Arabidopsis thaliana: one gene and its partners. The protein of the gene in region 4 interacts with the protein of the main gene of each other region in a biochemical or structural test. Each region holds a gene or a part of one and is shown on either strand. Other genes may lie near its edges. The genes, in order: SPA2, SPA3, NF-YB2 and CO.

Region 1 (10,023 bases), on a different chromosome or scaffold from region 4:
TGGTTTAATTCTCATCTTCGTTGCATTTCAGTCATAAAGAGAACATAAAGCTTGGATATTTAGGGTTTTTGCAGAATTTTTGATTAAGCTTATGAGTTTGGTAATAATCTGTAGAAATTGGTTGATGTTGTTTCAGGTTTGGGTTTAGGACAAATCAGAGAAGAAGATGATGTTTGGTTTAGAGAAAACGATGACTTTGGAGCATGAAATTCTGAAGGAGAATCATGAGACTCTGTTGAAAGATTATGAGAGTCTTCAGGAGAGGATTAAGCATGCTGAGGAAGCTTATGAGGCTATTAAGTTGCATCATGAGAACAAAGCTAAGGAGCTTGAAGTGAGTAACAAACGCTTGCTTGAGGAATGTATGAAAGAGAGAAGGGAGAAGGCTAAGGTTAGGAAGACTTTTGAGGAGATGAAGAAGACAATGGAGAGTGAGAGAACTGCTATTGTTGATGAGTTGAAGTCGAAGAATCAGGAGCTTTTGTTGGGGAAGAAGAAAGAGGAAGAAGAGTTAGTGAAGATGGAGAATAAGTATGTTGAGTTAGCTGAGAAGTTTGATGTTGTTGAAAAGGAATGTGCTTACTTGAAGTCACTCTATGATGCGGAAGTAGTAGCTTCGGTTACTCAAAGTGCTGTAATCTCAGGGGTTGGAGAGACTGATAATCTTATTGGTCAAGGAGAGAACGAGGCTAATCAGAATGTGAACAATGCTGTGACAGGTATACATAGACATCTCTGTACCCAAGTGTTGTTTAGTTTACAATGACATTTCTTTTGAATCTATCTTTGTGTGCAGATGCGATAATGATAAGTGATGATGAAAATGATAATAATCCACCTATTGAGAGTAACATAAGCTCTCATCGGTCTGGTGATAGAAACCAAGAAGAAGAAGGCAGGAACAGAGGAAACTCAGCGACTGAGAACCGAGCTTCGGGAGAAACCTTTACTCCGGTATCTGCTAATCATCCACCGCCTTTTTCTCCTTCATCGTCATCTTCATCATCATCATCTTCAGACGGCGCTGAGATTGTGCTTAAGCTGCCTCGTAATTGGCCTGAATGGGCAATCCCGAAAGGTCCCGGGAAGGATTCCAACAAGCCTTAGAACATTTCAGATGCAACAGAGAGCCAAAAGAAGTAAATTTGAAGCTGCACTCTTAAGTTAAGCTAGTTATGGAAATCTTCTTACATATTGCTTTCTGTTTTTGTCAGGAGTTTATTTAACAATCTCTGGAACTACAACAAACTATTCTATCTACTATCAAATCAATTATTCATTCATGAGTATAATAATAGCTGAAACTTTCTGTGTTACAACAATTTCACCATAACTAAAATTGCATTTGCATTTGAATACTGCAAACGCAAATTGGCTTTGTATACGCATCTTGTTTATATATGGATTAGTTTTTTCTACATAATTAATGAAAGCTTTTGTAAACTAACTCTTGAGTACTAACTAATAAGAAAGTTCCGTGGCAAAATAATTTCCGAATCATCGGATAATCATCCATTTACGAGGTTAAGTTCCGGGAACTGCTGGTGTTAAGGTTCTGGAAGATCTCCGGAAGATTGGCATTAGTGAGTTTGATTCTCTTGCTGATCTGTTGTTTGCCATGCCATGAATATGTGCAACAGCTCTTCTCTGTGTAGTGTTCATCACACATGCTTCAAACTAAGCTTATGCAGCTCCTTCTCGACTAGCTTGTCGCTTGAGTTGTCTATGCCGCGGTATAGAGGTTTAAAGTCGTCATAAACCTGAATCTGACCCTTGAAATCAGCATTAGACAGTCCTTAAACTTTTAGAGCCAGCAAATATGAAAGACAATCCTGAAAAATGGATAATCATAAGACCACAAAAGTCTTTTGAAACCATTTAAGATCAGGAGCCAGTACACTATCCGTCTATCAGAATCTGGCAATAAATATTATCAGAAGCTTATTGATTATGAAGTTAATACATCTTAAATAGAATCAGTTAAGCGTTTTTTGTAAATCTAAATCACATGTGAAATTTCTTTATGTCACGTTTTCATTTGTGTAAAACAATATCTTTTGATTTATTAAGCAAATAATTTGCAGCTAAAGCTCTCAAGATTCAAATAAATTGAAATGTAAGTAGTGTAAGTAGTGATTTCTTATAGAAATAGTTGAAATCTAAAAGTATTAGGACACTGATGTAAGTATTGTTAAACTAAAGAGATCTATCAGGAAATCAAATCACTATAGTTTTTTTTTTTTTTTTAAATTCCTTGAGTTTATCAAACAAAAAAATGTAAATGTCCCTAGCAAGTACTGTAGGTTCATTTTTTTTGTTTCAAAAGAGTATGTTATTTCTTAAAAATCGCCAAAGATAGATAAGATTCGAAATTTGCATAAATGTGGCAATAAATATTATCAGAATCTTTTTATTGAATAATGAAGTTAATACACCTTAAATAGAGAATTAAGCGTTATTTAGATCTAAAACCACATGTGAAATTTCTTTATGTCACGTTTTTGTTTGTGTAAAACGATCTCTTTGAGTTAATTTGCAACTGAAAGCTCTCAGCATTTTACATTAATTGCAATATAAATAGTGATTTCTCATAGAATTAGTTCAAATCTTAAACTATTAGGACAGTTACGTAAACATTGTTAAACTAAAGGGACCAATATGGAAACACAAATCACTGTAGTTAATTTTTATTATTATCTTGAGTTTATCGTCTATCGTGTTCGAATTCTCTGTCGCTTACTTAAACACAGTCAAATTCATTTTCTGCCTTAGAAAAGATTTTTATCGAAAATCGACGTTTTTGAAAAAACTCAAATTATCGTCGTTTTGTTCTCAGATTTCTTCTGCTCTCTTCTTCTTCTCCTTCTTCTTCGTTCCACCGCCTCTGTTGCTTTATCTTCTTCTTCCTTCCTTCGATTGTTGATTACGTCGGTGGATCTTTGTTCTCCTCTGTGTTGTTTTCATTGCTAGATTTCGTCAATGATTGGCTTCTCACGATTCGATTTTTCCGGCTCCTGTTCTTAATTTCCTCTGAGGTAGATTAGTAAAACTCTTTGTCTCGTAAACATTGTTCGATGATGAAATTAGAAAGTTCTCACTCTTGTTTGCCAAATTTGGGATATTTCTGGAATTGAAAATGAATCGTCATTTTTTTCAATTTCTGAGGATTTTGTTACAATTGTTTTTTATTTATGTTAGAATTGAGATTGTGTGATGAATATCAGTAACCCTAGACAATTGTGAAATCAAAGCTATGAAAATCTTTTGATGCTATGTTTCCTATGATACAGAGAATGATGGATGAGGGATCAGTAGGGGATGTGAGTAGGATTGATGAAGCTGATGTTGCTCACCTTCAATTCAAGAATAGTGAGCAGTCGTTTAAACCGGAGAACATTGAAGTCCGGGAAGTAAAAGAAGTGCAGGTTCAGAGAGAAGCTGGTTCTCCTGATTGTTCTTATGGTGTAATAGCAGATTTTTTAGATGGTAAGAATGGTGGTGACCATGTGGAGCTTATAGGGAATGAACCATGTTCTAGCCGGCAGAATACAAATGATGAGGGGGATGTTGTCGAGGAGTTGACTGTTAAAACTTGTGAGGGATCGAGTATGGCTATAGTTGGTAGACCAAGTAGTAGAGCTAGATTAGAGATGAATCGCAGTCAGTTTCTGCATCGTTTTCCGCTAGACGGTGATTTACCGGGTAGTAGTTCTATGAGTAAGAAGGTAATTGACAGGGGAACAGTAAGTATCTTGAGAAATGCTGGGAAAATGTCTTTGCCTGAGACTTCAAATGGACAACTGGCTATTATTGCTGTTAATGGAGAAGCTAATGAACATTTGACAAATGTTGAACGAAATCCTGTACCTGTAGAGGCATTGTCTCATGAAGGCATCAAGACAAAGATGTTATCGCAGTCTGGGTTTTCTCAGTTTTTTGTTAGAAAAACATTGAAAGGGAAGGGAGTTACTTTCAGAGGCCCGCCAAACAATAGATCTAAAGCGAGGAATATGGATCAGCAAACTGTAGCTAGTTCTGGTAGCGCTTTAGTAATAGCTAATACTTCAGCAAAGATTTCTAGCAGCATCCCTTTGGCGGCTTATGATGGTTTGCCGTGCTTACCTTCCAATACCAGTAAACCATCTTCTTGTGCTAATCCTTCAGATACACATAGAGGTTGTGGAGGTGAAGGTTTAAGTCTGAGAGAATGGTTGAAGTCGGAGCGGCAGGAAGTTAATAAAGCAGAATGTATGTATATCTTTAGGCAGATCGTGGATCATGTGGACTGTTCTCATTCTCAAGGAGTTGTTTTATGTGACCTGCGACCATCTTCATTCAAAATTTTCAAGGAAAATGCAGTAAAGTATGTGGTTTCAGGTTCTCAACGAGAGTCTTTTGACAGCAACATGAACAAAGAGACTTTAAGTCAACTCGAAAACCCTCTGGTTAGAAGACGGTTAGGAGATACTTCTAGTCTCTCTATCCCTGCAAAGAAGCAGAAATCAAGTGGACCAAGCTCTAGACAGTGGCCTATGTTTCAACGAGCTGGTGGCGTCAATATCCAAACTGAAAATAATGATGGCGCGATACAGGAGTTTCATTTCAGATCTAGTCAACCTCATTGTAGTACAGTTGCCTGCCCTTTTACTTCAGTGAGTGAGCAGTTGGAAGAGAAATGGTATGCGAGCCCTGAGGAGCTCAGGGGTGACATGCGTTCAGCCTCTTCAAACATCTATAGTTTGGGTATTCTTCTTTATGAGGTATGCCATCTTAATTGTAGCTTTTGACCTGCAATTGTAAGTATGTACATCCATGAGTTGAAATGTGAATCTGCAAGCCCTTAATGTTGACACACATATATATGTTTTCCCGTGGGATTATGTCTTTAACTGGGACATATCGTGTGTGGGTCATGTTTGGGTCCAGATAGATTTAGATAGTGTAGCATGTTTGTTAATGAGATGGTAACAGTGAAGTTTCTCGTTGAAAGTACAGTTGGCTGCATGGCTCATAGGTTTATGTATATATTGATTCGACTGTTTCTTGGTCAAAACATAACATTTTCATTGATATACTAATTTGTTTTTTTCCGTCAGTTGCTGAGCCAATTTCAGTGTGAAAGAGCTCGTGAGGCTGCAATGTCTGATATCCGACACCGCATTCTTCCTCCCAAATTTCTGTCGGAGAATCCAAAGGAAGCTGGGTTTTGTCTTTGGTTACTTCATCCAGAATCTTCATGCCGACCATCAACCAGGCAATGCAAAATCTTTAGCTACTATAATTCTCAAATGATATAAAGCGTGTTATTGAACTTTTGTATGCTTGTTTCTGTTGATAGTTTAAGGCCATGAATCCCTAGTGGGTCTATTGGAAGATAATCTTGTTGTATATCTAGAAATGTACATATGCACCAAATGTGGAAGTTTTGTTCTCCTGGCTGTAAACGGGAGGACGATTGTCTCGTCAACAGTTTCACATAGGATTGTTAGGTTCTACTCTGAAAAATAATTAGTCTTTGTACTAACTGAGCTCCCTTTATGTGTTGATAGTCTCCTTCCTGTCATAATTTATCTGTCAAGAATGTGAGTTGGCTTAATCTCTAAATAAGTTTGATGTTGTTCTGTATTAGGGACATCTTACAATCTGAAGTAGTTAATGGAATCCCGGATTTGTATGCTGAAGGCTTATCTTTATCCATTGAACAAGAGGACACAGAGTCTGAACTCTTGCAGCATTTCCTTTTCTTGTCCCAAGAGAAAAGGCAGAAGCATGCTGGAAATTTGATGGAAGAAATTGCGTCCGTAGAAGCAGATATCGAGGAAATTGTCAAGAGACGTTGTGCCATAGGGCCTCCGTCCCTGGAAGAAGCTTCTAGCTCATCTCCTGCTTCTAGTGTACCTGAAATGAGACTGATCAGGAACATTAATCAGCTTGAAAGCGCTTATTTCGCTGCAAGGATAGACGCACATCTCCCTGAAGCACGTTATAGGTTACGCCCAGATAGAGATCTGCTAAGAAATAGTGATAATACTGTAGCAGAAGTAGAAAACAGTGAGACTTGGAGCTCAGATGATCGTGTTGGAGCGTTCTTTGATGGGTTATGCAAATATGCTCGATATAGTAAGTTTGAAACTCGGGGTGTGCTGAGGACCAGTGAGTTGAACAACACTTCAAATGTGATTTGTTCTCTGGGTTTTGATCGGGACGAGGATTATTTTGCCACAGCTGGTGTGTCGAAAAAAATTAAGATATATGAGTTCAATTCCCTTTTCAACGAATCTGTTGACATTCATTATCCAGCCATAGAAATGCCAAATAGATCAAAGCTTAGCGGCGTTTGCTGGAACAACTACATTAGGAACTACCTAGCTTCCTCTGATTATGATGGTATTGTCAAGGTATTTGAACCTTTGAAGTTTTACGTAGATTGTTTATCACTTGATTACCCCTTTATTTCCTTCGGTCTAATGAATACAAACGTATTTATGATGAATCCAGTTATGGGATGTGACAACAGGACAGGCCATTTCACATTTCATAGAGCATGAGAAGAGGGCTTGGTCTGTTGACTTCTCTGAAGCTTGTCCGACAAAATTAGCCAGTGGAAGCGATGATTGTTCTGTGAAGCTATGGAACATCAATGAGGCATGCTCTTCTATACTGGATTTTGTCGTTTTAATAGCTACTCCTACTGAGATATCTGGCATATATACATATGAATATATCAATAGCACTTTGGATTATTCTGTCAATGTTGTCATGCTCGTATTTTCAGCCTTGTAGCTAATAGACAATCTTCTTGTTTGACTGTGCAGAGGAACTGCTTAGGAACAATCAGGAACATTGCAAACGTTTGTTGTGTGCAATTTTCTCCACAGTCCTCTCACTTGCTAGCCTTTGGATCATCAGACTTCAGAACCTACTGCTATGATCTAAGGAATTTAAGAACTCCTTGGTGCATACTGTCAGGACACAACAAAGCAGTTAGCTATGCGAAGTTCTTGGATAATGAAACTCTTGTAACAGCATCAACTGATAACACGTTAAAGCTTTGGGATCTTAAGAAAACCACTCACGGTGGCCTCTCAACAAATGCTTGCAGCTTAACTTTTGGCGGCCATACAAATGAGAAGGTAGCTAATGCTGAAACGTAATTTTGAGTTAATCTATATAATGATGTTTCTCTTTTTCCTTCGTGGTTGATTTGTCTTTTCCTGCCTTTTTCAGAACTTTGTTGGTTTGTCTACTTCTGATGGATATATAGCTTGTGGCTCTGAGACAAATGAGGTATGCCCCTACAAACCTGGGAACTCTTTGATATTCCTATAACTTTGTGTATGGAATCTCCTTTTCTATAATCCTTTAACAAGCATTGCCACAGATTGATAGTTTGATTCTCAACTTAACTAGAAGCTCCAGAGTTTATTTCATGTGATGGAAAAAATCACAGTTCCATGTGAATTCCGTCTATTTATACGCGATGGAGGAACTTATCCATTGATACTAACAATTAGTAAAATAACTGGCGTAGGGTCAAAAAAGAACTAATCTGGTAGTATTGTTGTTTAAGTGATCTCTCTGATTGAGAAATATGCTGTTTCTTGTTTTGTTCAGGTTTATGCCTATCACCGGTCTCTTCCCATGCCAATTACCTCGTACAAGTTTGGTTCTATTGATCCAATATCAGGTAAGGAGATAGAGGAGGACAACAACCTGTTCGTTTCAAGCGTTTGCTGGAGAAAAAGATCGAATATGGTTGTTTCAGCTAGCTCAAATGGGTCAATCAAAGTTCTACAGTTGGTCTGAAATAAATACATACATACAGAAGAAGCTGAGGTAATTCTACACCTAGAGCCCTCTTGGTTTATGGTAAAACAAAAACCCCATCAATCCAAGAATCAGGCAAAACAACGGAGATAACGAACAAGCTTTCAACACACAGATATGAGATAGTTTTATCTATCTGTTGCTAAAGTTTTCCTCAAATGGGGTGAAGGAATGAGAGTGAGTAGAACTATAGTTGTTCAATAGTTGCGGTTTGATCAGCGCGGTAAGGGTTTATACCGCTGATGGGTATACATAGTAAGGTAAAAGACCTTCTCTTTTGTGGTGTTCTAAGGTGTTTATTTTTTTATTTTTTATTTTGGCTCTTACAATAAGATTCCTCTTTGTGATATGTAAATTTGCTCCGATAGTTCTAAGGTAAAAGAGCATACTCTGATGTATATATAGTTGAAATGAGCTTTTTAGTTCTACGGATGAATCTCCTCCACCAAGAAAAGAAAAATCTTCGTTTTTCTTTTTAAAAACTTTAAATGCATCGTTTTTTGTTGAATGTTCACAAAAGTAATCTTTGAAATGCTTTATCATTGTACATAGCTTAGGACTGAATCAGCGTAATAACGTTATCAAGGTTTCTTGCTCAATCAAGCTGCTCCAACTTGTTTATGGTCTTCTTCACTTGGTACTGAAAACTTTTTTACTTTCTGAGACAAACAACAACAGAAGATGAATCAAGGCCTTGCTCAATCTAAGATCAAGCTGTCTTACATCTATGAGAAAGACTTAAGAATCACAAAGAAGAATTCATAGTGAACTAGTGAAGCATGCCATATGGAAAAACAATTGTTCAAAAACTCCAATTGAGGAAATGTTGGAAAAAGAAAAGAACAAACCTTAGATAGAACACATTCTCAGAGAGATTGCAGTAGAATTAGACATTTCTCTTGATCGAATTTCGATTCCGAAACACAATTGAGAAGATTCACAGCTTCTTGTCGTCAAATTGGTAGGGGAAGCTTTTTCTCCATTATCATAAACCCTAAACTAAAAGTTTCTGCAAAAACAACTATTTTATCGAACTCTTAATGGGCCATCAATGGGCCCATACTTATAAACTTAAACCCTTTTCCAATTTCAGTCGTATTTTACAAAAACCATCACCGTCGTTATCACAGTAACCAAACAACTTTCATCGCCGGGTAAGCTCCATTCCCAAGCTATTTCGATCTCGTTTCACGTCGATCTATTTCTAGTCAAGTTAATCTCTTCTTTTAGGGTTTAATTAGTTAAGACTTGCGTTTGATTATCTCAAGTTCAGAATTTGTTTCTTGATGATCTAAAGGAAGGAATTTTATACTTATCAAATTGAGGATTTTTGTTTTTGGATGCAGAGAACTGATTAACATATAAGAAAATGGCGTTTGCTAGAGCAGTGAGAAGACCAATTGGAGTCTTTTATTATAGTGTTAGTAGTAGATTTAGTTCTGGAAATGAGTATTCTACTGTGGCAAGCAAATTCGAAACTTTGTCTCAGTACAAAAGCTCTGTACCGTCTGGTTACACAAGCCTTGTTCGTGGTTTTGGGAATTTCATACGGAGTTTTAGTTCGGAAGCTCCTCCTGCTGTATCTGACCAAATGAGTCTTATTAAGCAACTTAGGGAAAGAACTAGTGCTCCTATTAAAGATGTTAAGGCTTCTTTAGTTGAATGCAATTGGGATCTTGGTAAGAATTTGGTTTAGGTTTTTTGTTTTGGTGAAGGTTGTGTATGTTTTGTTGTGTTTTGAAGTGGGTTTTTTTGGATTTGACACAGAGGCTGCTCAGAAGGATTTGAGAAAGAGAGGGAAAGTTTTGGCTTCGAAAAAGTCGTCACGGACTGCTGCAGAAGGAATGCTTGCCGTTGCTCAAAATGAAGGGAAAGTTGCTGTTATTGAACTTAACTGTGAGACTGATTTTGTTGCTAGGAATGAGATTTTCCAGTACTTGGTTAGTCCCATAGCAATTTCACATTGGTTGTTGCTGAATGATGGGCTTTTTGTTTATTTTACTGTTCCTTGTCTTCTAAAATTGACATGTCTTGCAGGCTTTAGCTATGGCAAAACATGCTTTGCTGGTTGAGAGTAGTTCGCAGCAAGTTTCTGGTGTCTTCCCCTTTGGGCCGGAGCTTTTTGAGGTCAGTTTTTTATGTACTCGCTTGTTTCCTTTTTTGTTATTTAAATTTATGGATTTATGTTGTTTCCTT
Region 2 (8,272 bases), on a different chromosome or scaffold from region 4:
TTAACAATATAAATTACATTAAACCCCCGAGTTGAGTTATGGGCTAGGTATTTGGGCTATAAAAGGCCCGGCCCACTAATCATACCATTGAAAGGTGCGATCGTTCCCGCCGTCGTATCGTAGCACAAGAAAATGTAAATTTTATTTATTTGGTATTTAAAAATATACCTATTTAATAATTTGAGATGATAAAGTCATAAAACAGAGTAACTTTTTTGCATCCAAAAACGAGTTCGTGATATCAACTAAGCTTGTCAATGTGTTTTTTTGTACACGAGACATTAAAATTCACAATGTTTCGTAGAGAAGGGGACAAGAAACACATAATATAATCAACCAATTATTATTACTCGAATCCATTATAATATTTTTTCAAAAGGATAAGATTTTGTTCATTGAAAGACATCTGGGTGGGTCCATTTCACTGCTAAGCCCCTTGTGGTGGCGTCTCCAACGCATCCACTTGGCATTGTTTATTTGACCACTTTTTCGAATCATAGATTTTGAATATTCAAGCTCGATGGCTTATGTTAACTCTTATATAAACATATTATCAACCTCCAAATATTTTCATCATCAATCTTCTCCACACTTGAATCACAAACAACAACAAAAGAAACACAATGCAGATTCACAAACTCTGTTTTCTTGCTCTGTTCTTAGCTAATGCAGCTTTTGCCGTCAAATTCAACTTCGATTCCTTCGATGGCAGCAACTTGTTATTCCTTGGAGACGCTGAGCTTGGTCCTTCCTCTGATGGCGTAAGCCGATCCGGAGCTCTTTCCATGACCCGAGACGAAACCCCATTCTCTCATGGTCAGGGTCTTTACATCAATCCAATCCAATTCAAATCTTCAAACACTTCTTCTCCTTTTGATTTTAAAACTTCTTTCACTTTCTCCATCACTCCTCGCACCAAACCTAATTCTGGTCAAGGCCTTGCCTTCGTCATTGTCCCAGCCGCTGATAACTCCGGCGCTTCCGGCGGAGGATATCTCGGAATCCTCAACAAAACCAACGATGGAAAGTCAGAAAACAACCTCATATTTATCGAATTCGACACGTTTAAGAACAATGAGTCTAATGACATTAGTGGTAACCATGTCGGAATCAACATCAACTCGATGACTTCTCTTGTCGCTGAGAAAGCTGGTTATTGGGTTCAGACATTAGTCGGAAAAAGAAAAGTTTGGTCGTTTAAAGATGTGAATCTTAGCAGTGGAGAGAGGTTCAAGGCTTGGATCGAGTTCAGAAGCAAAGACTCTAGGAATACCATTACCATCGCCCCTGAAAACGTTAAGAAACCGAAGAGGCCTTTGATCCAAGGTTCGAGAGTACTCAATGATGTTCTTCTTCAAAACATGTACGCTGGTTTTGCTGGTTCCATGGGACGTGCCGGTGAGCGTCACGATGTTTGGAGCTGGTCGTTTGAAAACTAAGTAAACCGGTTCGGTTCGGTTCAGTTTGGCTAGGTATCGTTTGCTTTGTTTTTGTAATTGTTGTAGAGTGAATAATTAAGGTATGAATAAAATAAGCCGACCTGTGGCTTACTCTGCATTGTATTTTCATATTTGTGTAATCAGTCTGAATAATTCAGAGGTTTTCAATAAAATAAACTTCCTTTCCAAATTCTTTTTTTTTAGTAACTGGATTTGCATGATTTGCAAGGTAGGAGATTGTATTAAGCTCTATACAACATCAGTAGCTCTAGACGTCGTCTTATTGTATTTGTCATGGATAGTTGGATACATACATGTTTCTATCGATTGAAGATGATAAAATAAAAGGAGCAAATTATTGCATCCACGCAATGAAAACGGTTTATATTTAAATAAACGGAGGATAATTTAGCTTTGTTTGTTTTCTTCACGGAATAAAATATAAAATATATCTTCCCATGCAGAAGATTATAAACGTGGAATGTCTTAGATTTATACACGAAATATGAATTAAACAAATGTTTCATTTAAGATAGGGGACACGAATTACAAGTAGTAGAATCGATTATTATTCGACTTCAATAATCAAGAATATCGTTTTTTTATCCCCAATCGGATAGATAAACACACTAGATAGGTCAATTTTGTTGGAGACTCTGGTGGCGTTTGTAACGCACCCACTTGGCGTTATTGAAATGACGCTTCGAATGAAATAATTGTTCTGCCGTAAAACAATTTCAAACTCGATGTCTTACAGTGACGAAATGACGATTCACAAAACTCTGTAATCTTGCTTTTTGACACCAATTCTTCTCTCAAATTTAACTTCGAAACCATGCCTGGATAGTCTCAACAAAACCGACAATGGCATTCTCAAAACCCAACATCTTAGCTGTCAAATATGATCGCATTGGAGACATGTTGGTCTGACATTTAGTTTTGTTATGGAGATCGCTCTTAAGTTTTTTCTTGAAAACATGTCCACGGTCCACCGGTTTTGCTAGTATCATGGCACATTTGAGTTGGTCGTTCGAGAAACAGCGCCAAGAACAGCTAAACCTAAACCGGTCCAATCCAGTTTAGGTATTGTCTCAGAGACTGGTAACCGGAGCCAAATCTTTATTTAGTTTTAAATATGCCTTATTGTTTTGCTTTTGCATTTGTTAATTGGGTTTATAGGAGACTCAAGAGAGGACTACATGCTTTGAACTTTAGTGATTCACTCCTCTTAAAAGGATCTGGTCTTTATTTTTGTTTTTGTTTTCATAAGAACCTCAATTATGTACCCAGAATTAGTTGCTGTTCTGTTGGGAAGAAATAAAGGAGCCTAAAACAAAAAAAAATGTTTCTTAATTCCAGAGCAAAAGTTTGAAGATTTGACCCTCAATGTTTGTCTAAATTTATACATTTGGCACAAAAAAAGGTCATTCCTTTTACGTTCTGTTATTTGTGAGGTCGAAGATTAACCACGTTGCTTGCGTGTAAAGAGAGGGTGGGTGATTATCAATATTGAAAAAAAAACTGAACTGAGAGATATATTATATAAATATATTAAAGAACGATTTCGACAGTGAATCGTTTCTTTCAGCAGTCGTTTTTTTGTTTTTATTCTAAAAGGCCGAGAATTTATGAGGCTGAGAGAGAGAGCCTTCTTCTGCTTTTTTTTCCGAGTTTAAAACTGTGTTTGGTGTTTGTTTGTTGTGTGGCTCTGTTTCAATCTCGTAAAGATTATTTCTGGGTGGCCTCTCTCCTTTAGATACTTCTTATCTTCTCCCTCTCACTAATTTTGCGGTAAAGAAGCTTCCTTTCTTTTTTTTGGCTCTTTACATGATCAAAAGATTTGCATTTTTTCTTGTATATATTTTTATCTTTTGAGTGTTGTTGTTCTTAAATGGGTCTCCTAGGTTCTTGAGTTTTCTTCTGTTTATAGCCTAGGGTTTGTTTCTTGAGTGGGATCACTTAAAAAAGGGGCTTTACATTGTGAGAGTCTAAGTTCTTGGCGAATGTGTAACGATCTTTAAGCAATGAGCTGTTGAATCCGAAATGATTCCAGTTAGAGTTGGGAATACAGAGAAGTCATTGGTTACGTGTTGGTTTCTGGTTAGCTTTTGGTGGATGTTAAATGGAAGGTTCTTCAAATTCTAACTCTAGGGGATTCAATACCTCTGGTGTTTCAGATAGGAACACTGAGTTCTTACCTGTTGAGAGACTCACTACTCGTTCCAAGCCTTCCTCTCATGTTGATGAGTATGTCAGAAGCTTGTTTGGTAGTACTAGCACACACAAGTCTGGTGAAGATGATTCTTTAGGGATTGATCCTTTTGTTAGATCCTTGGAATGGGGTGATGTTAGTTTGAGACAGTGGCTGGATAAACCTGAACGATCTGTTGATGTTTTCGAGTGCTTGCACGTTTTCAGACAAATTGTTGAGATTGTGAATGCGGCTCACTCTCAAGGCATTGTTGTTCATAATGTCAGGCCATCATGTTTTGTCATGTCTTCGTTTAACCATGTTTCGTTCATTGAATCTGCTTCTTGTTCGGACTCTGGCTCTGATTCCTTGGAGGATGGTCCAATTAGCCAGAAGGAAATCGGTAGCTCGAGAAGAGAGGAAGCTGTATCGAAAGCTATTGCAATAGAAGAGAAAGGAGTCTACAATAAGTTGTTGGAGAGAAAAATCGAGAAACTAGAGGAAGAAAAAACCCAACCTTTTCCGATGAAACATATATTAGCAATGGAGACAAGTTGGTACACAAGCCCTGAAGAGGATTTTGGTTCTTCAAGTACTTGTGCTTCAGATGTTTACCGCCTTGGCGTTCTTCTTTTCGAGGTTTGTGATAAAGAAAGAAACATTGTTTCTAACAAATTAGTAACTGCTTTTGGATTCAAAGTTTCTGTTTTTGTTTTGCGTGTTTATTTTCTTGAAAAGGTGATGAGATGAAAGTTAGTCCCTTTGCAGCTATTTTGCCCTGTACCTTCAAGAGAAGAGAAGTCTAGAACTATGTCTAGTCTTAGACATCGCGTTCTTCCGCCTCAGATATTGCTCAAATGTCCAAAAGAAGCTTCTTTCTGCTTGTGGTTACTGCATCCTGAGCCAACTTGTCGACCATCAATGAGGTTTACATATTGTCTTATACTTCATGTTCTTAGGTTGAGCATTGTTAGTCTCTGTCATCTTTTACTACATGGAACTAATGGGGAATTTGTCTTTTATGGTGCAGTGACTTGCTGCAAAGCGAGTTTATAACTGAACCTAGAGATAATTTGGAAGAACGTGAAGCAGCAATCGAGCTTCGGGACAGAATCGAGGAACAGGAGTCGTTACTCGAGTTCTTGTTACTGATTCAACAGAGGAAGCAAGAATCTGCGTATAGATTGCAGGATACTGTTTCACTTCTTTCTTCTGACATTGAGCAAGTTGTAAAGAGACAGTTAATTTTGAAGAAAAGGGGAAGCTCACTCTCTGATTTCAGTAAAGATGATCATCAATATACCTCTGGTCAGCCATTGATGAGTTTCCAGGCAAACGAGGAGCCATCAGCATTCTTGGCCTCAAGAAAACGGGTTAGACAAGGGATTCTGGCATTGGAAAACGGTGTTGAAGTTGATGAAGAGAGTCAAGGAAGCACACTTCTTGAAAGCTCCCGGTTGATGAGAAACTTCAAGAAACTAGAATCGGTCTACTTTCTGACAAGGCGCAGGCAAATGAAGGCTGCTGCTTCAGGGAAATCATTAACTAGACATTCGCCGTTAAGTAGTGAAAATGGAAGAGGTTCTATGATTGTCTCAGAGAAAAGTTCAGTAAGCAACCCGGTGGCACCCAAAGCTTTCTTCAATAATGACTCGAGACAAGGGGGGTGGATAGATCCTTTCCTTGAGGGTTTGTGCAGATATTTATCATTCAGTCAGCTAAGAGTGAAAGCTGATTTGAAACAAGGAGATTTGTTGAACTCTTCTAACCTCGTTTGCGCTCTTGCGTTTGACCGAGAAGGAGAATTATTCGCCACTGCGGGAGTCAACAAGAAAATCAAGATATTCGAATGTAACTCCATAGTAAACGATAACCGGGATATTCACTATCCGGTGGTGGAATTGGCTGGTCGGTCAAAGCTAAGTAGTTTATGTTGGAACAGCTACATAAAGAGCCAAATTGCATCAAGTAACTTTGATGGTGTTGTTCAGGTTAGTTTTACATTCAGCTCTAGCGTTATTAAAAACTTCCAGTTTCATAAAACCAATTTGGGATACATATGTTTTTGTTTTCAGATATGGGATGTTGCAAGAAGCCAGTTGGTTACAGAGATGAAGGAGCACAAGAAGCGAGTATGGTCCATCGATATTTCATCAGCAGACCCGACTTTGCTGGCTAGCGGAAGCGATGATGGAACCGTTAAGCTCTGGAGTATCAATCAGGCAATTCTAATTTGAAATGTCGGCTATTGAAAACTGAAACTGATTTCTACAATAATGCAAACATCTTCATTCTCAGAATGTATGATTAAGAGTTTGTTTTTCTTGGAAATGTTTTCAGGGAGTTAGCATTGGGACCATCAAGACAAAGGCCAATGTATGCTGTGTCCAGTTTCCATCAGACTCCGGACGGTCTCTAGCATTTGGTTCTGCAGATCATAAAGTGTATTACTACGATCTTCGAAACCCCAAGATTCCTCTGTGCACAATGATTGGTCATAGCAAGACAGTGAGTTATGTCAAGTTTGTAGATTCATCCACTCTTGTGTCCTCTTCTACTGATAACACACTGAAGCTTTGGGACTTGTCGATGTCTGCTTCTGGGATTAATGAATCCCCTCTTCACTCATTCACTGGACACACTAATTTAAAGGTAACATTTTACCCTGAAATATGCTTTCAAGACTCTCTTCGGTCTCCGGTTTCTGAGATGTAATGTTCTTGTGATGTGTTGCAGAACTTTGTTGGCTTATCGGTCTCTGATGGGTATATAGCAACAGGCTCAGAGACTAACGAGGTAAAGGCTTGATACAGAAAGAAAAATGAACTTTCTGACAGATTGTCTCCTAAAAACTTGATTATCTGAGCTTCTTGTTGTTGTGAATCTATTACAGGTTTTCGTGTACCACAAGGCATTCCCAATGCCAGTGATGTCGTACATGTTCAACAACACTGACTCTATGTCTGGTCTCGAAGTGGACGATGCATCACAGTTCATATCTTCAATCTGCTGGCGAGGACAGTCGTCTACGTTAGTCGCTGCTAACTCCAATGGCAACATAAAAATTCTGGAGATGATGACTTGAGCCTCTCATAGATCTCTTGTTCTTCTTCTCCGCAAGAGATATGCTCTGCTGGAGTGATTGATATAGGGTAAACCATTTTTACCAAAAAAAAAAAAAGATAGGAAAGTGGAAACATTGTGTATAGAATTTCTATTGAGAAAAAAAAAAGAAGAGAGGATACAAATATTGGATCTTTGTATTTGTATATTCTGTTATAACTGAAAACATCTCAATAAAAAAAGGTTATAATTTTATTGGATTTTGAAGGAGATGACTTCAAACAAACAAAAATGAATCCCAGTAGGTCGTGGCATTACAAGGCATCTCTACTCAATGCAAACAATGTCTAATAGTCTTATCTAAAGCCTGCAACTGCAAGATTCTCTATATGTTGTATAAATATATATATCATGACAGTCGCTCTCCATTACTTCGATAATGGTTCTTTTTTTCTTCGAATTCTTTCTATTTACACTGACTAACTCCTGTATTAGCTTCGTTGACTAACCTGGTCACAAGTCCTTGAAGCCTCTGAGCTCCAAAGCTAGGAACAATCTTAGCCACATTACCGACCCTGGAGCATTTTGGTTTCCCACTGCACCATCCACCAGGAGTAAAACTATCTTTATCATTCCTCCGTTTAAGTAATTCCTTATCGATCTTATTAAGTACTTCATCATCTCTTCTGAATTTCCTAGCAAACGCAGCACCGCTCCATATCATCGGCATTGTGTCGTTGAGTGACAACACGTGTGGGTGCTGCTGCGGCGGATTGTCCCAGGAAATGTAGTGTAGGTCATGGTTTACTGCAGTTTTTGCAAACTCAGGCACGTTGCAAATCACGGTCTGGAAGTAACCTTCGGGCGATGAAACGAAGTTGGTGTAATACATTAGGAGAGTTCGTGGTAAATTGTCCCATCCCCATATGCAATACTCTACAAACGGGCGTGATAGAGCCATCCAAGCTGATCCTGTGACAACAACAGTAACGAAAAAATATTTCAAGCTTTGATGCATATGACTAGAGTTTTGGTCTTATAGATATACAACAGCACCGAGAATAATGCTTCAAGATTTGAATGGTGAGAAGAAGTTTTGATCCAATGTACATTCAAATGCAGTTTAGAGGGATTAGATGACTGACCAGTGAATAACTTAAAGGCAGTTGGCAAACTTCGGCGAGGTGTGACCCAGTAAATATCAGATTTGTTCAACAAGTAGAGTCCAGGATCAATCATTAATGGCTGTGCTCGCTTCTCCCTTCACAAGGAAACAACAACTCAGTCCACTAGAACATAAGACTAAACCAAATAGGAAACTCAAGAACGTGAATATGCTCACTCTTTCCATCCCAGTTGACTTGTGTGTTCGATAAAGTTGAGGTTCCGGTCCAATGTTGAAAACGTATGAAGCAGATCTTCAAACACACAGAGATTATTGACAGTAAGTTAATCAAAGACAAGACTGAAGAAATATCTTGATGCAAAACTAATAAGAAAGTGAGATCAAAGCTTTTTATACCATCTTGGGTCACCAGAGGATAATCTGAAGCACTAAGGTTAATAAACCAATCCCAGT
Region 3 (5,618 bases), about 14 Mb from region 4:
TGAGACTGAGAGTCTCTGTCAGACCCACTTCGCTTCTTCAGAACGAGAATGGTTTCAAGAGTATTGGTATTTTTAATTTCACATCAGAAGCAGCTGCAGATGGAGGCCAAGATCAAATATTGAGCAGGGTTATTGAACTGGTGAAGAAATACGACAAAACCAACACCTCTGAGGTTAGGGATTACAAAACTGCTGCTTTTTCTTTGTGTATAACCTTTTATTTTGGTGAATGGTTGTTTTGTAACACGGGGCTTGTTTACTTGCAGGTTACTGAAAGGGCTGATTTTCAGAAAGATTTGTCGTTGGACAGCTTGGACAAGACGGAGCTAGTTATGGCTATTGAAGAAGAGTTCTCGATTGAGATCCCTGATGAGAAAGCTGATAAGCTTACTTGTTGTGGTGATGTTGCAACATACATACTCTCTGAAACTCCTACCAAAGCGTCTGAGTCCTGAGTTGTATCTCTGCCTTTCTGTCTCTCTTGTTTTCAATGTTTAGTTAATGCAAGTTTAGAGACATGCTCTGTGTCAGTGTGTCTTTGCTTCAGCCAATATGATCATTTGGGTTTTTGCTGCTAAACATTTTATATGATATATATTCTAATGTGATCACACTACTTTTGTACCAAAAACATGGGAGCCTTTATATACATGATGCTTACAGTTGTTTGTTCTTACACTTTGGGAACATGAAACACAATGTAGAGAGACTCTAACTCGGTTCTGTGACTGGAGCGCCAGCTAAGCAAACGAGGACCATAACAAAAAAAATGCTTTTCACATGAAGGAACTTGAAGAATCAGCTGTTTGTGTTCAAATCTTTTGGTTGAAATGTTGTCTCAACGAGCTTGCTATGATCTCGAACTGTGGCCCTGTAACCTGATTTTCCCTGAGGTGTAGACACGGAAACCATTGGTAGAGGAAACAAGTTTGATAGGTTTGTGTATATTGGTAGAGGTGTTATAGCATCTATAGGGCCTAGGCACATATACTGGCTTGATGAAACAAGTGTTTTCAAGGTGTGGAATCGCATGGAGTTGGGAGGGAAGATCGATTTCAAACTCTCCCAATTCATCAGTAACAGCCTTAATCCATTTGGACCTCCTTTTGGATCCAGTGTGGCACTTGATGGCAACGGTGGCACCTGCGAGGATCATGTTAGTATATATTCGGACGGAAGACAAGAAACATGAAGAAAAAAGGTAGAGAAACAAATACCTGGGATAGGGATGGAGTGAAGGTGAGGACGTGAAGTGTCGCAGAGAAGAGATCCGGTGATCACGACAGAGGAGAGTTTCTGTTCACCGTAGCCAGCCATCTCCACCATTTCCGTTCTGGTCCATAAATTATTCCCAAATGCTCCGGTGAACAAGAAGAAAGAGAGTAACAAGAAGCAACGGATGATGAAGAAGCTTCCCATCGTTAAAAACAAAGAAAAGAGGTTTGTTTGTTTTTCTTTGTATTTTGTTAAAGAAATGAAAATAGCATGAATATATAGAGAAGAAGAAGGAAGCTAAAGAAGAGGAAGAGACCCTTTGCGTGGTGGCTTCAGGTCACACAGCTCTGTACGGCAGTGTCTCTCTTTATACCTTGTAGTAGCCTTTTTCTTTTCAGTTGTATCTTTTCTAAATATATTAAAAATCGTGGCTGACTTGTTAGGGTCAAATTTAGAGCTGAATCTTCCAAATGAAACAATGAACCGAGAGCGAAAGAGAAAGAGAGATACGGCACTTGGAAGCAATTACTGAGTGGTTCGCCTACTCTTTCACTCCTTGTATAAGTATTATTTTAATAATAATATTTGGTGCAACGTTTTTGTATCTAGTGTGACGTTTCTCCTTTTCTTTATTTAATTAAGCCAATTCAGTTAGAGTAGTCATGCAGTAACCAAAAGATTCAAGCCTACCCTCAACTATACTCGCACACATTCAGCTTTGAACACAACGGCTTCAACATCGTGGGTTTGGTCGTGTCTACGTGCTCAGAATATCTAGTTGATGGTGGGAGTCAGCAGGGTTTTGACCAAACCACAGTTTCTCAAGTCCTCATTACATTGAAAAAAGTATGGGCTTAAAAGAAGCCTAGATATTGATAATAGGTCCATCACCTTTAATGGGCCATTCAGTTTGATTATCTTAACGGCCCATTAGGATTCTCCAGGTGGGACAAGTATTAGCTATGTCATTAAGAGCTTAATACAGCTGGAAGCTGGTGATTATTGTTAATGTTAACTAATCACACGCTTAGAAAAGCGACAATGGTTGGACCCACAGGAGAAGATCGAGACCGTCAAAAGTGGACAAAACTGGGACGCTTTTTGTTTCCAAACAGCTGTCTGATCTGATTGGTCGATGCAGTTTTGATGGCAATGAACCCCACCACAGACCACACCCTCATGATCCAACCCAATTCGCTCGTAACACAAAAAAAAAAAGAAGTGAAAAATTGACCGAAGGGTCGTTGAGTGGCAGTTACCCTCTGTCTCCCTAACGCCCACCTATCTTCTCCGTGTTTTCCACGCGCTATCTTTCTCTCTTCTGTGTGTTTACCACGCTCCTCTTATGCGCGTCGGCTCGTGACAAAAGTGTGCCGGGTCCACTAACTGTCCACAACACGTGGCAAAGCCTTAAAGGGCTGTCTATCTCTCAAACAAGATCAATTCCAATCCGACGGTCGAGCACGTATCCAGTTGTCAGAATCTTATCAGTAAACGGACGGTTCATATAAGATCACGTGTCAAGTGAGCAGAAGTCGTGCGTCCTCTCTTTATATAAGCTCCGGCGACTCCTTCACCACTGTGTACAATACCAGCCGACACTTAACAATTCACACCTGCTCTTTTTACTCTTTCTAAAACCCTAAATTTTCTCGCTTCAGTCTTCCCACTCAAGTCAACCACCAATTGAATTCGATTTCGAATCATTGATGGAAATGATTTGAAAAAAGAGTAAAGTTTATTTTTTTATTCCTTGTAATTTTCAGAAATGGGGGATTCCGACAGGGATTCCGGTGGAGGGCAAAACGGGAACAACCAGAACGGACAGTCCTCCTTGTCTCCAAGAGAGCAAGACAGGTTCTTGCCGATCGCTAACGTCAGCCGGATCATGAAGAAGGCCTTGCCCGCCAACGCCAAGATCTCTAAAGATGCCAAAGAGACGATGCAGGAGTGTGTCTCCGAGTTCATCAGCTTCGTCACCGGAGAAGCATCTGATAAGTGTCAGAAGGAGAAGAGGAAGACGATCAACGGAGACGATTTGCTCTGGGCTATGACTACTCTAGGTTTTGAGGATTATGTTGAGCCATTGAAAGTTTACTTGCAGAGGTTTAGGGAGATCGAAGGGGAGAGGACTGGACTAGGGAGGCCACAGACTGGTGGTGAGGTCGGAGAGCATCAGAGAGATGCTGTCGGAGATGGCGGTGGGTTCTACGGTGGTGGTGGTGGGATGCAGTATCACCAACATCATCAGTTTCTTCACCAGCAGAACCATATGTATGGAGCCACAGGTGGCGGTAGCGACAGTGGAGGTGGAGCTGCCTCCGGTAGGACAAGGACTTAACAAAGATTGGTGAAGTGGATCTCTCTCTGTATATAGATACATAAATACATGTATACACATGCCTATTTTTACGACCCATATAAGGTATCTATCATGTGATAGAACGAACATTGGTGTTGGTGATGTAAAATCAGATGTGCATTAAGGGTTTAGATTTTGAGGCTGTGTAAAGAAGATCAAGTGTGCTTGTTGAACAATAGGATTCACTAACGAATCTGCTTCATTGAATCTTGTATGTAACTAAAGCCATTGTATTGAATGCAAATGTTTTCATTTGGGATGCTTTTATGTTTTGGTGAGAGTTATGTAGTGATTCAAGTGTCAAAATGCTTACATAGAGAGGCAGCAAAGAAACCAGCTTCGTTAGAATCTGTGAGGAAAGCTCTGTTTGTTGAGAAAGAAGGTCAATTGCGCGAATGTAAGTCGCGGGTGTTGTAGTACAAGTTGCCTTGTTGATCAGGTGCAGAGACGCGGAGAGGAGTGAAGCCTTCGTAGTCTCCGTTGGTTTTAGCAGAGCAAATGTCTGTCATATACCTCAATAGCTCATAATTTTGTACAAATGGTTGATTTATGTATTCCTCCCAAGGCATCCACTGCACCAAATTCCCATTTTCAGAAAGAGAAGAGGTTTATGAGTGTTTTAGTGGATGAGACTGGAGAGTCGTTGAAGTGAGGAGCAAAAACTGTTACCTGAGCTGCCTCAATCTCTGACTCCTGTGCGTTGATCTCCAAAGAAAGGGGCTTTAACATGCACACGAAGAACAAATCTGACTTTCCAAAGAACGCTTTGTGTGTTTGTCTGCCAGAATTTTAAAACAGACGAGAATCAGTTATGTTGCAATATAGAAGATTATGCAGTTGGAGTTGCTACCTGAAGGCCAATATTTGGTCGAATTCTGTATCCACCTGAAAACATACGATGCAGAAGAGTGGGATTAGCTCTTGGTCTCATGTAAACTGTAAAGAGGACAGTGAAAAGTTGAGGCATGAAGAAGCCTTACTCCGGTCTCTTCTTTCACCTCTCTGACTGAGCCATCATGAATGTCTTCACCCTGACTCAACACAAACACAAAAAGGCGAATCAGAGAGCTGAACCTAACCATGTAATGAGCTTTAATAAGAACCAGCACCTCATTCACAACTCCGGTGGGGAACTTCCAGATACCTTGACCTTGAAATCTCCCTGTCTTCTCTTGAACCACCAGCACCTTTGGATTCAAATACAGAAAAGAAAAGAGATGTGATCCATTCTTGGAGATGTTCCAAAAAGACACACTAAAAATCTCATCTCATCAGTAATCAAACCTCTTTGTTGTGGTTAATGACAAAGGCACCTATGCCAACACGGTGAGATGCATTGGCAGGAAGCGTATCGTCTTCTTTGGGAATCCAATAGACAAGCATCAAGTAGTCTTTCTCCGCGTGGTGAAACCAGAATCCCTCCTACACATAATACACAACCAGTAAGTGATATGAAGACTCTCCAAACAATAAGCAAAAGGGGGTTTAAAGATATCTGATTGCGCATTAGGTAACAAAACAAGACCTTAACAGCAGTTTCAGCAAGACCAATAAGCTGCTTTGGCAACTTGATCCACACTCCCTTTTTGCCCTGCGTACATAAAAACGTTTGTAAACATTTCACAGTAGATCGGTTCATAGTCCTATTCACCGTCTATTACTGTAGTGGAAAAGTTGAATTTAATTTTTTTTGCAGCAAAGTGAAAGAGAGTTTCTGGCCCGCATTAGAATACAACAATTTTCAAGCGGAATAGTGACACTAACACTTTTAACACCCAAACTTTTACAATGATTCTTCTATGTAACAACAAATCGGTACCAGTATCTTGATTCGGATAACAAAATTTGTCATTTTGATCGAATCCAATAAGATCAAATTTAACAAGAGGAAGAAGGAAGAGAGAACCTGAAGAGTCCAGGTAGATAGAGAGGATCGGAGAAGTGTGGAGAAGAGAGAAGGATCCATGGGATGAGTCATCTCGGTCATCACGCCACCGTACTTGTCTTGAACAGACGGAAGCAGTGTTGTTGCGTCCTCACG
Region 4 (7,482 bases):
GCCTATGGACCATCCAAATGAACAAAGATATTCAGTGTGAGAAATCTATTTCTTGGTCTATCTTTTAGAATAATAGCTCACTTTTTCCAAGGTATATACTGGCACTAAAGAATAACGACGCAACCAAAAGAAAAAGGGTGACACTGTAAAGCCTTCACTTTTTGCCACCTGGAAAGGGCCAGAGATCAACTTATTTACCACTAGGATAGCTTCCCACTTCAACGGTTAAGCTGATGAATTCATGTACCAAATCAATACTTTTTAGCCATAAATGAGTCAGTTTTAGTATCCACATGAATTTACCTACCAGAGTGTTGTAAATTATGTTCTTTTGGGGCCACTTACATGGATCTCATTCATTCACTGCAGCGAGTTCTCAGACCACCAGAAAATTTATTCAGTGATCTGTTTTGATCATGCAACATAAACTTATAAGCCACACAAGCAAAACAAAGATATCCCATGTTGCATATAATACGAGCTAGCATATCATAAAGAAGGAAACTTGAAGTAGCAAAGTTTCTACTAAATTTCTTGTCAGGAATTTTTAAAATGCAATGACAACCACTTGGAGCACTATGAGTTTCAGAGCCAATAGAATGTTACTATTTGGTGTGGATTCGAGCTAGCACGTGAAAGTGCATAAAAGTGATTACCTTTTGCCAAAGGTCACTGCACTTTTCCTCAGATAGTTTCTCACAGCCATGGAAAGTGGAGAATCCGCATAAACGTACAATTACAAGCTTTATATGGTCCCTCGACTCTTATTCTCTTCTCAGTCTTTGCAACTAAATAGGGTTTTCGTTAATCTGAAAGAAGCAAAGTATTCGAAACCACGGAAACCTGATAAAGAATGAAAACAAATAAGCAATAGTGTTTTCTTGAAAATCTCGATGCAACTTTGAGGATATTGTTACATATGATCTATTACTCGTAACAGTTATCCGAAGGCCTACACATGTGAGAGAAGTTCCAAACCGCTACAACAATAAACTTAATTAGAGACTGTCAACGAGCAATAATAAGCAAAACTACTTTTTTCTTGAGCTACAAGTGAAAAGGCCAATACACAATTTACTCTTCATGAACTCGAACCACGTTACAATCTCCAAAAAATTTCATCACCAAAGCACTAAAAGCCAAAGATGCCTCAACTTATCCAACTTGGCAGGATAAAGATCTCCAAAAATGCTTACTAAAGAACCTAGAATCTTTTCTTTAGAATTCAATGATCATATAACCATTTCATAACAATTCTAAATGCCATTACATTCATCGTAAAACCAGTAAATAACAAGAACTTGTATGTTAAGTTCCAATTACCAAGCAAAAAAAAACTTTTCAAAGTTTAAAGTTCAAAATGGGAAAGAGAAGTGCGGTGTAAGCAAATATGAAAGAGGAAGAGATGCGAAAAGTGTATCCTAGGACCAGCATTTTATACAAAAAAAAAACACTCACTTTTCAGCTCTTAAGGCATAGAGTGAAGGTAGCCATATGAATTTGGCCACTAGAGCGTCCGTCAAATCTCATTCTTTTTGGACCACATAATGGGTATCATACATTCACTGGACCCAAAAGCGTAACTGGAGCTAGTCCTCAAACCTAGAGAGTATCGTATCCTGTAGCTTCCACATAGTAAACATTATGAGCATAACACCAACAAGGCAACTCCAAGTACTAATGGTTATTAGTACAGGAAAACCCACGATGCTAAACACATGAATGGGTCACCAAATAGAGTGAAGATGGTTAAATTGCATCTATGGATCATGTGGACTAGTAAATGAGTGTAGCAGAAAACTTCACAATTACCTCTGTGATCTTAGAAACATGTCCTGAAAATTCCATACAAGTGTCGTTTGTATTAGATTACTTCCACAGGTTGAGATCTAATAAAGCTACAATAAATAGTATAGAGTATCATCATAAACCCAAATTACAGAGATGTGACAACACTCATGAGTCATGTTTTGTAACTACTTACTATAATGGTTACCAAGTGCAAATTTCTACATACTATATATGATAAATCTAATTATTGCTCATGTGGACTCCAAAATGCCTTTTAAGTTTTAACTTGTGCGTCAGGTAAATTCTAATTTGTAGTCTCAAGACTACTTGGCGGATTCGAGTTTGATCCTAGAAAATCCACCGTCTCTATGTTTTTCATGTCACTTTTCCGATATGATTCTCATTACCATGACTTTATGAACCAGATTAAACATTATAACACTTTTCATCAGAAAATCCTTCGAAAGTTTCAATTGCAAATCTTTCTAAATGATGCAGATGCATTCACAAATAATGGAACAACAACTATACCATATTCACGAGTTTGTCTAACCTTTGTATAGGTAGTCAACCCATAACAGTTGGTGATGGCTCTGACACTCGAAGCCTTACTCGGAGAGATACCTGAACAGTAATCACAAGGTTCAGGATGAATATTCAACCACTTAAACTTTGTATAAAGCCAAAGAGATAAAACGAATCTAGCTTTACTTTAAATAAAATGCATATGAAAATAGTAAAAGGTGATACGAAAAAATAGTAACAATTTGCCTGCAACACCATGGCATTATCCGGACCACTTCCTCTTGAGAATCTCAGTATGGCAAGTGGCAAAACCTAAGCAACTTGTGAACGGGTCCCAACGAAGAAGTGCATAGGAGGAGATGTTTACACTTTACACTTTACACTTTACACTTTACACATAGGCCTTCCCAAAAGCTCAACTAGCTGCAAGAGGATCCAATAACATGTAAGAGCCACTAACGCTGTGCCACGTGTAGGCACTCAGGATTCGATCTCCCCTCTACTTATTCTCTCACACCAGATATAAGCTTTATTAGCCCCTTCTTTCAGATACCAGCTCCCACACCATCAAACTTACTACATCTGAGTTATTATGTTGAAACAAGAGAGTAACGACATAGGTAGTGGAGAGAACAACAGGGCACGACCCTGTGACACATGCCGGTCAAACGCCTGCACCGTGTATTGCCATGCAGATTCTGCCTACTTGTGCATGAGCTGTGATGCTCAAGTTCACTCTGCCAATCGCGTTGCTTCCCGCCATAAACGTGTCCGGGTCTGCGAGTCATGTGAGCGTGCTCCGGCTGCTTTTTTGTGTGAGGCAGATGATGCCTCTCTATGCACAGCCTGTGATTCAGAGGTTCATTCTGCAAACCCACTTGCTAGACGCCATCAGCGAGTTCCAATTCTACCAATTTCTGGAAACTCTTTCAGCTCCATGACCACTACTCACCACCAAAGCGAGAAAACAATGACCGATCCAGAGAAGAGACTGGTGGTGGATCAAGAGGAAGGTGAAGAAGGTGATAAGGATGCCAAGGAGGTTGCTTCGTGGCTGTTCCCTAATTCAGACAAAAATAACAATAACCAAAACAATGGGTTATTGTTTAGTGATGAGTATCTAAACCTTGTGGATTACAACTCGAGTATGGACTACAAATTCACAGGTGAATACAGTCAACACCAACAAAACTGCAGCGTACCACAGACGAGCTACGGGGGAGATAGAGTTGTTCCGCTTAAACTTGAAGAATCAAGGGGCCACCAGTGCCATAACCAACAGAATTTTCAGTTCAATATCAAATATGGCTCCTCAGGGACTCACTACAACGACAATGGTTCCATTAACCATAACGTAAGGCTTTTGTATATTTGTTACCCCTTCAATTTAGCATCTTCCCATAACGCAGCAGGGTGAATTCTTTCATCATACACACAAATCCACTGATCCACTGCCAACAGTTGATCTATAGCACATAGAAATTTCACCAGAAGTCTATAATAAAAACAATATATGCTTCCTTTTGCATCGACTCTCTTTAGTCCTCTTACCAGGGGGATTGAGAATGTCTTTGTTTCTGTCATTAGGCATACATTTCATCCATGGAAACTGGTGTTGTGCCGGAGTCAACAGCATGTGTCACAACAGCTTCACACCCAAGAACGCCCAAAGGGACAGTAGAGCAACAACCTGACCCTGCAAGCCAGATGATAACAGTAACACAACTCAGTCCAATGGACAGAGAAGCCAGGGTCCTGAGATACAGAGAGAAGAGGAAGACAAGGAAATTTGAGAAGACAATAAGGTATGCTTCGAGGAAGGCATATGCAGAGATAAGACCGCGGGTCAATGGCCGGTTCGCAAAGAGAGAAATCGAAGCCGAGGAGCAAGGGTTCAACACGATGCTAATGTACAACACAGGATATGGGATTGTTCCTTCATTCTGATACTCCTGTGGCAAAAAGAAAAACTAGATTGCAAGCTGTAAATTACTTTTAGTTTGAGATTATGTTAGGTTTGGTGAAATTCTTAGCTTCAAGAAGTATTACTACTGTTGTGCAAATGGGTTTGTAGTTTTGGCTAATTAAAACTATAGTATTCTTCTTTCTCTGCATTAGTTAAACAAAACCAGTCTAATTGGTACAGATCCCCATTTGTGAAATATGGATCATCAAGAAGTGAAAACGCAGATTTCACCTTGCTAACTACTAAGAGGGAAGCCAAGGTTCAAAGCCAATAACTTCCCGATAACCTGAACATGTGACACTTTCACGCCTCCCTGACAACAAAAAGATTCTACAATTCAAGTTGATAACACAGACTCCTCAGCTGTAAATCACAACTTCTTACTAAAATGAGTCATATCACGTTCCTAATTGTAGAAACCATCAGCCATATATGTTCTCGGCTTCAAGAACTGTAAGAAGAAATAAGTAATAACAACCAAGTGTATAGCTTATACTATGTGTTAATGTTAAGTGATGGATTCGAGACCTCACGTGAAAAGTTCATAAAGTGATATAAGGATGCTGCACTTTGCACTTTTTTGCACTTTTCCAAAAATCTAAGGATAGTTCAGATCGATTCTCAAAGCCATCAAATTTTAAAACCATTCCCAAACTTTACATGGTCCCTGGGCCTTCATAGATTCTCACTCTTTTAACTTCTTGCTTACAAAAAAAAAACCATTCTCCTTAATCTGAAGTAGGAAAAAGTCTGCAACTACAGCATGAGTTTGACAGAAAAATTATAACACTCTGCTTTCTAAGGTTCTTATCTTGCTTCAATGACCATATACTAAAATAGCAATTTCCTCCACATAATCCACAAAAAACTTTGGTGTCATGTGAAGAAGGCCTGAGAGTAGTTCCTAACTAACCAATAACCATTACAAAGGAAATCCACAGACTGACTAAGAAGAAGTAAAGACAGAACAAATGAAAAATGCCAAAACAGAACAACACAAGCACAGCTATATCTGAACACGCCTTAAAACACCATTTAATATATAATCATCTCTATACTTACCAGAGAGTCAGAAACCAGTATAAACCCTAACATTTATACAAATCGGAATCAGTCACCATCAAAATATAAACCCTAACATTCATTCAAACTGATTTTCGATAAAGAAACTTACTTTCAACCCGTCACAATAGATTTGGGATGATTTTGGATAAATTTGAGGAAAAATATGCGAAATTCAATAGATTGAATATGCAAGGGTTTAAGGATGTGAAATTCAATAGATTGAAAAAACACAATTTTTTGCTCAATTAGATCCAAATTCATCCCAGATCGATTTTGTCTGACGAGCTGAGATTAAAGGAGTTTACCAGAAAACCCCAAATCGGGATTGTGAAGTGAAAAGCCCTAAATTTTGAGCGACGATCGATCATCAAACTTCGAAATATTCAACAATGACGCACGCAACTGGTCTTGTCTAATACTAACGGGCTGGGCCAAAGGATCTGATATAAGGCCCAATTATTCTTGCGCGATAAACTTCTGTTTCAGGGGACGGCCCAAGTAGTCTTCCGAACTAAGCTTATCTTCTTTCAGGAAGTTTCCTTTTTTGTTGTTGCATGATCATTTTCTATCTTTATCTTATCAAAAGATAATAATCTTATCATTCACGATGAGTTATTCTAAGCATTTCGACAACGAACTTCATAATTGCACAACGGATAGTTTTAAGTAAATGAATGATATTTTTAATCATCTCATTGATTTCAGAAAGATCCTCCTCGAACTATCCTCACTGAGAATGCAGAATAATTAACAAGATCCGCGGCCTTTTGAATAATTTACTTTTCTTCAAGTATATCAAACTTGGCTTCTCTATTGGGTGAAGAGGGTTTGGTGGTAGTTGTTTGTCTTCTTTTTATTTCTCTACGTATAATTATTATAAAATTATACTCTTCTTTTCCAAATTTATGTATATAATTATAAATCTTTGTTTACAGCATCATCTTCAAATATCCATCATTTAATTATCTTCTGACAAAACAACAGAAAAACAAATAAAACCCAAACTTTGGTACGTAGTTAAACGGTTTAAAAAGTGATACCAAAGAAAGAAAATAGATAAGATTAGAGGCAGAAACTTGAAGTAATGTTTTTCTCGATCAGAACAACTCATGATGGATGATGAGTTCTTGGATCATCTGTGATAGAAGAAAAGTCTTGATCCAATTCATCCATAGACGACGGAGAAGAATATTTGTCATGTATGCCTCCTCCAAGCTTCTTCATGGATGTGATAACCTGACGAAGCTCCAAGTTTTCTTCTTTAAGACTCGAGTTCTCTTGAATAACAAGATCATTGTTGTCGGAGACTTGGTTAAGCTTATCTAAAAGCTGGTGGTTCTCGCTTCGAAGCCAAGCAACCTGTGAGAGAAGCTCATCTAAGTGTCTTTGCTTTCTCATTCTTGATCTTCTTGCTGACTCTCTGTTAGATACCATACGTCTTTGCTTCCTCTCGTTGATGACGAAGATTTCTTCAGTTGCGTCATCGGAAGTTGTGGAGTTGTTGCTTACCGGAGATTGTAGGTTGAGTTCTTGAATTTGAGGGTATTGGAGGATATTGAGGTTGTTGTTATTGGTTGAAGGGTTTAAGTTGTTGTAGTAGTTGTTCAAGTTGAAGTAGTCTTGTTGTTGCATGTTGTTAAGACTTGAGCTATCATAATTTGGCTGCATGGTCAATTTCTCTCTCTCTCTTTAGAACTCAAAGAGGGTGAGTTTAATGGTGGAGATTGGATGAGAAGGAGTGTTTATACAGCTGAGAAAGGCATACAAGTGGACCACAACTTTTTTTGCAAATTGGTGGCTTTCGTGACATTGGCTTAAGAGGGTTTTGCTTTTTAAAAAATAATTTAGATTATGTCGATATAAGACATAACCCATTGGCTATGGACATAATTTTTTTTCTTGTAAATGACTTACTGAGAGAAGTTTAAAAAAGTATTTACACGTTGCTGTGTAAATCTGCTATGGCTACTTTGCTGTTGTAAAGATCGATAAACATGTTGGTTAGAAGTCCCCATACATATATTGTATATTCATTGGTTGTCCATGCATGAGAATGAGACTTGGGAAGGAATTGAATGCTTGAATTTTATAGTAACCTTGGCTTCATGGCTTGTATGCATAGATCATAGTGTATC

The links.
Region 1: the proteins of CO (region 4) and SPA2 form a complex in vitro, tested with the Arabidopsis thaliana proteins (one study listed by BioGRID).
Region 2: the proteins of CO (region 4) and SPA3 form a complex in vitro, tested with the Arabidopsis thaliana proteins (one study listed by BioGRID).
Region 3: the proteins of CO (region 4) and NF-YB2 form a complex in vitro, tested with the Arabidopsis thaliana proteins (one study listed by BioGRID).

Annotation. Positions count from the first base shown.
Region 1 is NC_003075.7:6,768,870-6,778,892, forward strand, and holds SPA2 (SPA1-related 2), read left to right. Parts: upstream 1-2,735; 5' UTR 2,736-3,035; intron 3,036-3,290; 5' UTR 3,291-3,293; coding exon 3,294-4,760; intron 4,761-5,096; coding exon 5,097-5,254; intron 5,255-5,629; coding exon 5,630-6,398; intron 6,399-6,498; coding exon 6,499-6,645; intron 6,646-6,815; coding exon 6,816-7,133; intron 7,134-7,227; coding exon 7,228-7,287; intron 7,288-7,614; coding exon 7,615-7,806; 3' UTR 7,807-8,356; downstream 8,357-10,023. Other genes in the region: AT4G11100 (gelsolin protein), read left to right, coding at 167-719, 797-1,107; AT4G11120 (translation elongation factor Ts (EF-Ts)), read left to right, coding at 9,197-9,506, 9,595-9,767, 9,865-9,954.
Region 2 is NC_003074.8:5,167,770-5,176,041, reverse strand, and holds SPA3 (SPA1-related 3), read left to right. Parts: upstream 1-2,936; 5' UTR 2,937-3,561; coding exon 3,562-4,269; intron 4,270-4,367; exon of another isoform or gene 4,368-4,398; coding exon 4,399-4,556; intron 4,557-4,660; coding exon 4,661-5,621; intron 5,622-5,705; coding exon 5,706-5,852; coding exon of another isoform or gene 5,853-5,867; exon of another isoform or gene 5,868-5,970; coding exon 5,971-6,282; intron 6,283-6,366; coding exon 6,367-6,426; intron 6,427-6,523; coding exon 6,524-6,715; 3' UTR 6,716-6,947; downstream 6,948-8,272. Other genes in the region: AT3G15356 (Legume lectin family protein), read left to right, coding at 624-1,439; AT3G15359 (uncharacterized protein), read right to left, coding at 2,261-2,449; AT3G15350 (Core-2/I-branching beta-1,6-N-acetylglucosaminyltransferase family protein), read right to left, coding at 7,160-7,665, 7,839-7,954, 8,036-8,111, 8,216-8,272. UniProt on the Arabidopsis thaliana protein: Repressor of photomorphogenesis in the light. Probably part of the COP1/SPA E3 ubiquitin-protein ligase complex.
Region 3 is NC_003076.8:19,306,431-19,312,048, forward strand, and holds NF-YB2 (nuclear factor Y, subunit B2), read left to right. Parts: upstream 1-2,796; 5' UTR 2,797-2,983; coding exon 2,984-3,556; 3' UTR 3,557-3,842; downstream 3,843-5,618. Other genes in the region: mtACP3 (mitochondrial acyl carrier protein 3), read left to right, coding at 1-173, 267-455; AT5G47635 (Pollen Ole e 1 allergen and extensin family protein), read right to left, coding at 851-1,143, 1,218-1,419; NUDT2 (nudix hydrolase homolog 2), read right to left, coding at 3,961-4,149, 4,247-4,355, 4,428-4,462, 4,558-4,608, 4,687-4,764, 4,862-4,999, 5,103-5,168, 5,484-5,618. UniProt on the Arabidopsis thaliana protein: Component of the NF-Y/HAP transcription factor complex. The NF-Y complex stimulates the transcription of various genes by recognizing and binding to a CCAAT motif in promoters.
Region 4 is NC_003076.8:5,168,124-5,175,605, reverse strand, and holds CO (B-box type zinc finger protein with CCT domain-containing protein), read left to right. Parts: upstream 1-2,520; 5' UTR 2,521-2,908; coding exon 2,909-3,670; coding exon of another isoform or gene 3,671-3,811; exon of another isoform or gene 3,812-3,903; coding exon 3,904-4,263; coding exon of another isoform or gene 4,264-4,268; 3' UTR 4,269-4,557; coding exon of another isoform or gene 4,558-4,595; 3' UTR 4,596-4,702; coding exon of another isoform or gene 4,703-4,712; 3' UTR 4,713-5,444; downstream 5,445-7,482. Other genes in the region: AT5G15843 (uncharacterized protein), read right to left, coding at 3,224-3,377, 3,695-3,811, 3,910-4,268, 4,558-4,595, 4,703-4,712; bZIP3 (basic leucine-zipper 3), read right to left, coding at 6,455-7,015. UniProt on the Arabidopsis thaliana protein: Transcription factor that acts in the long day flowering pathway and may mediate between the circadian clock and the control of flowering.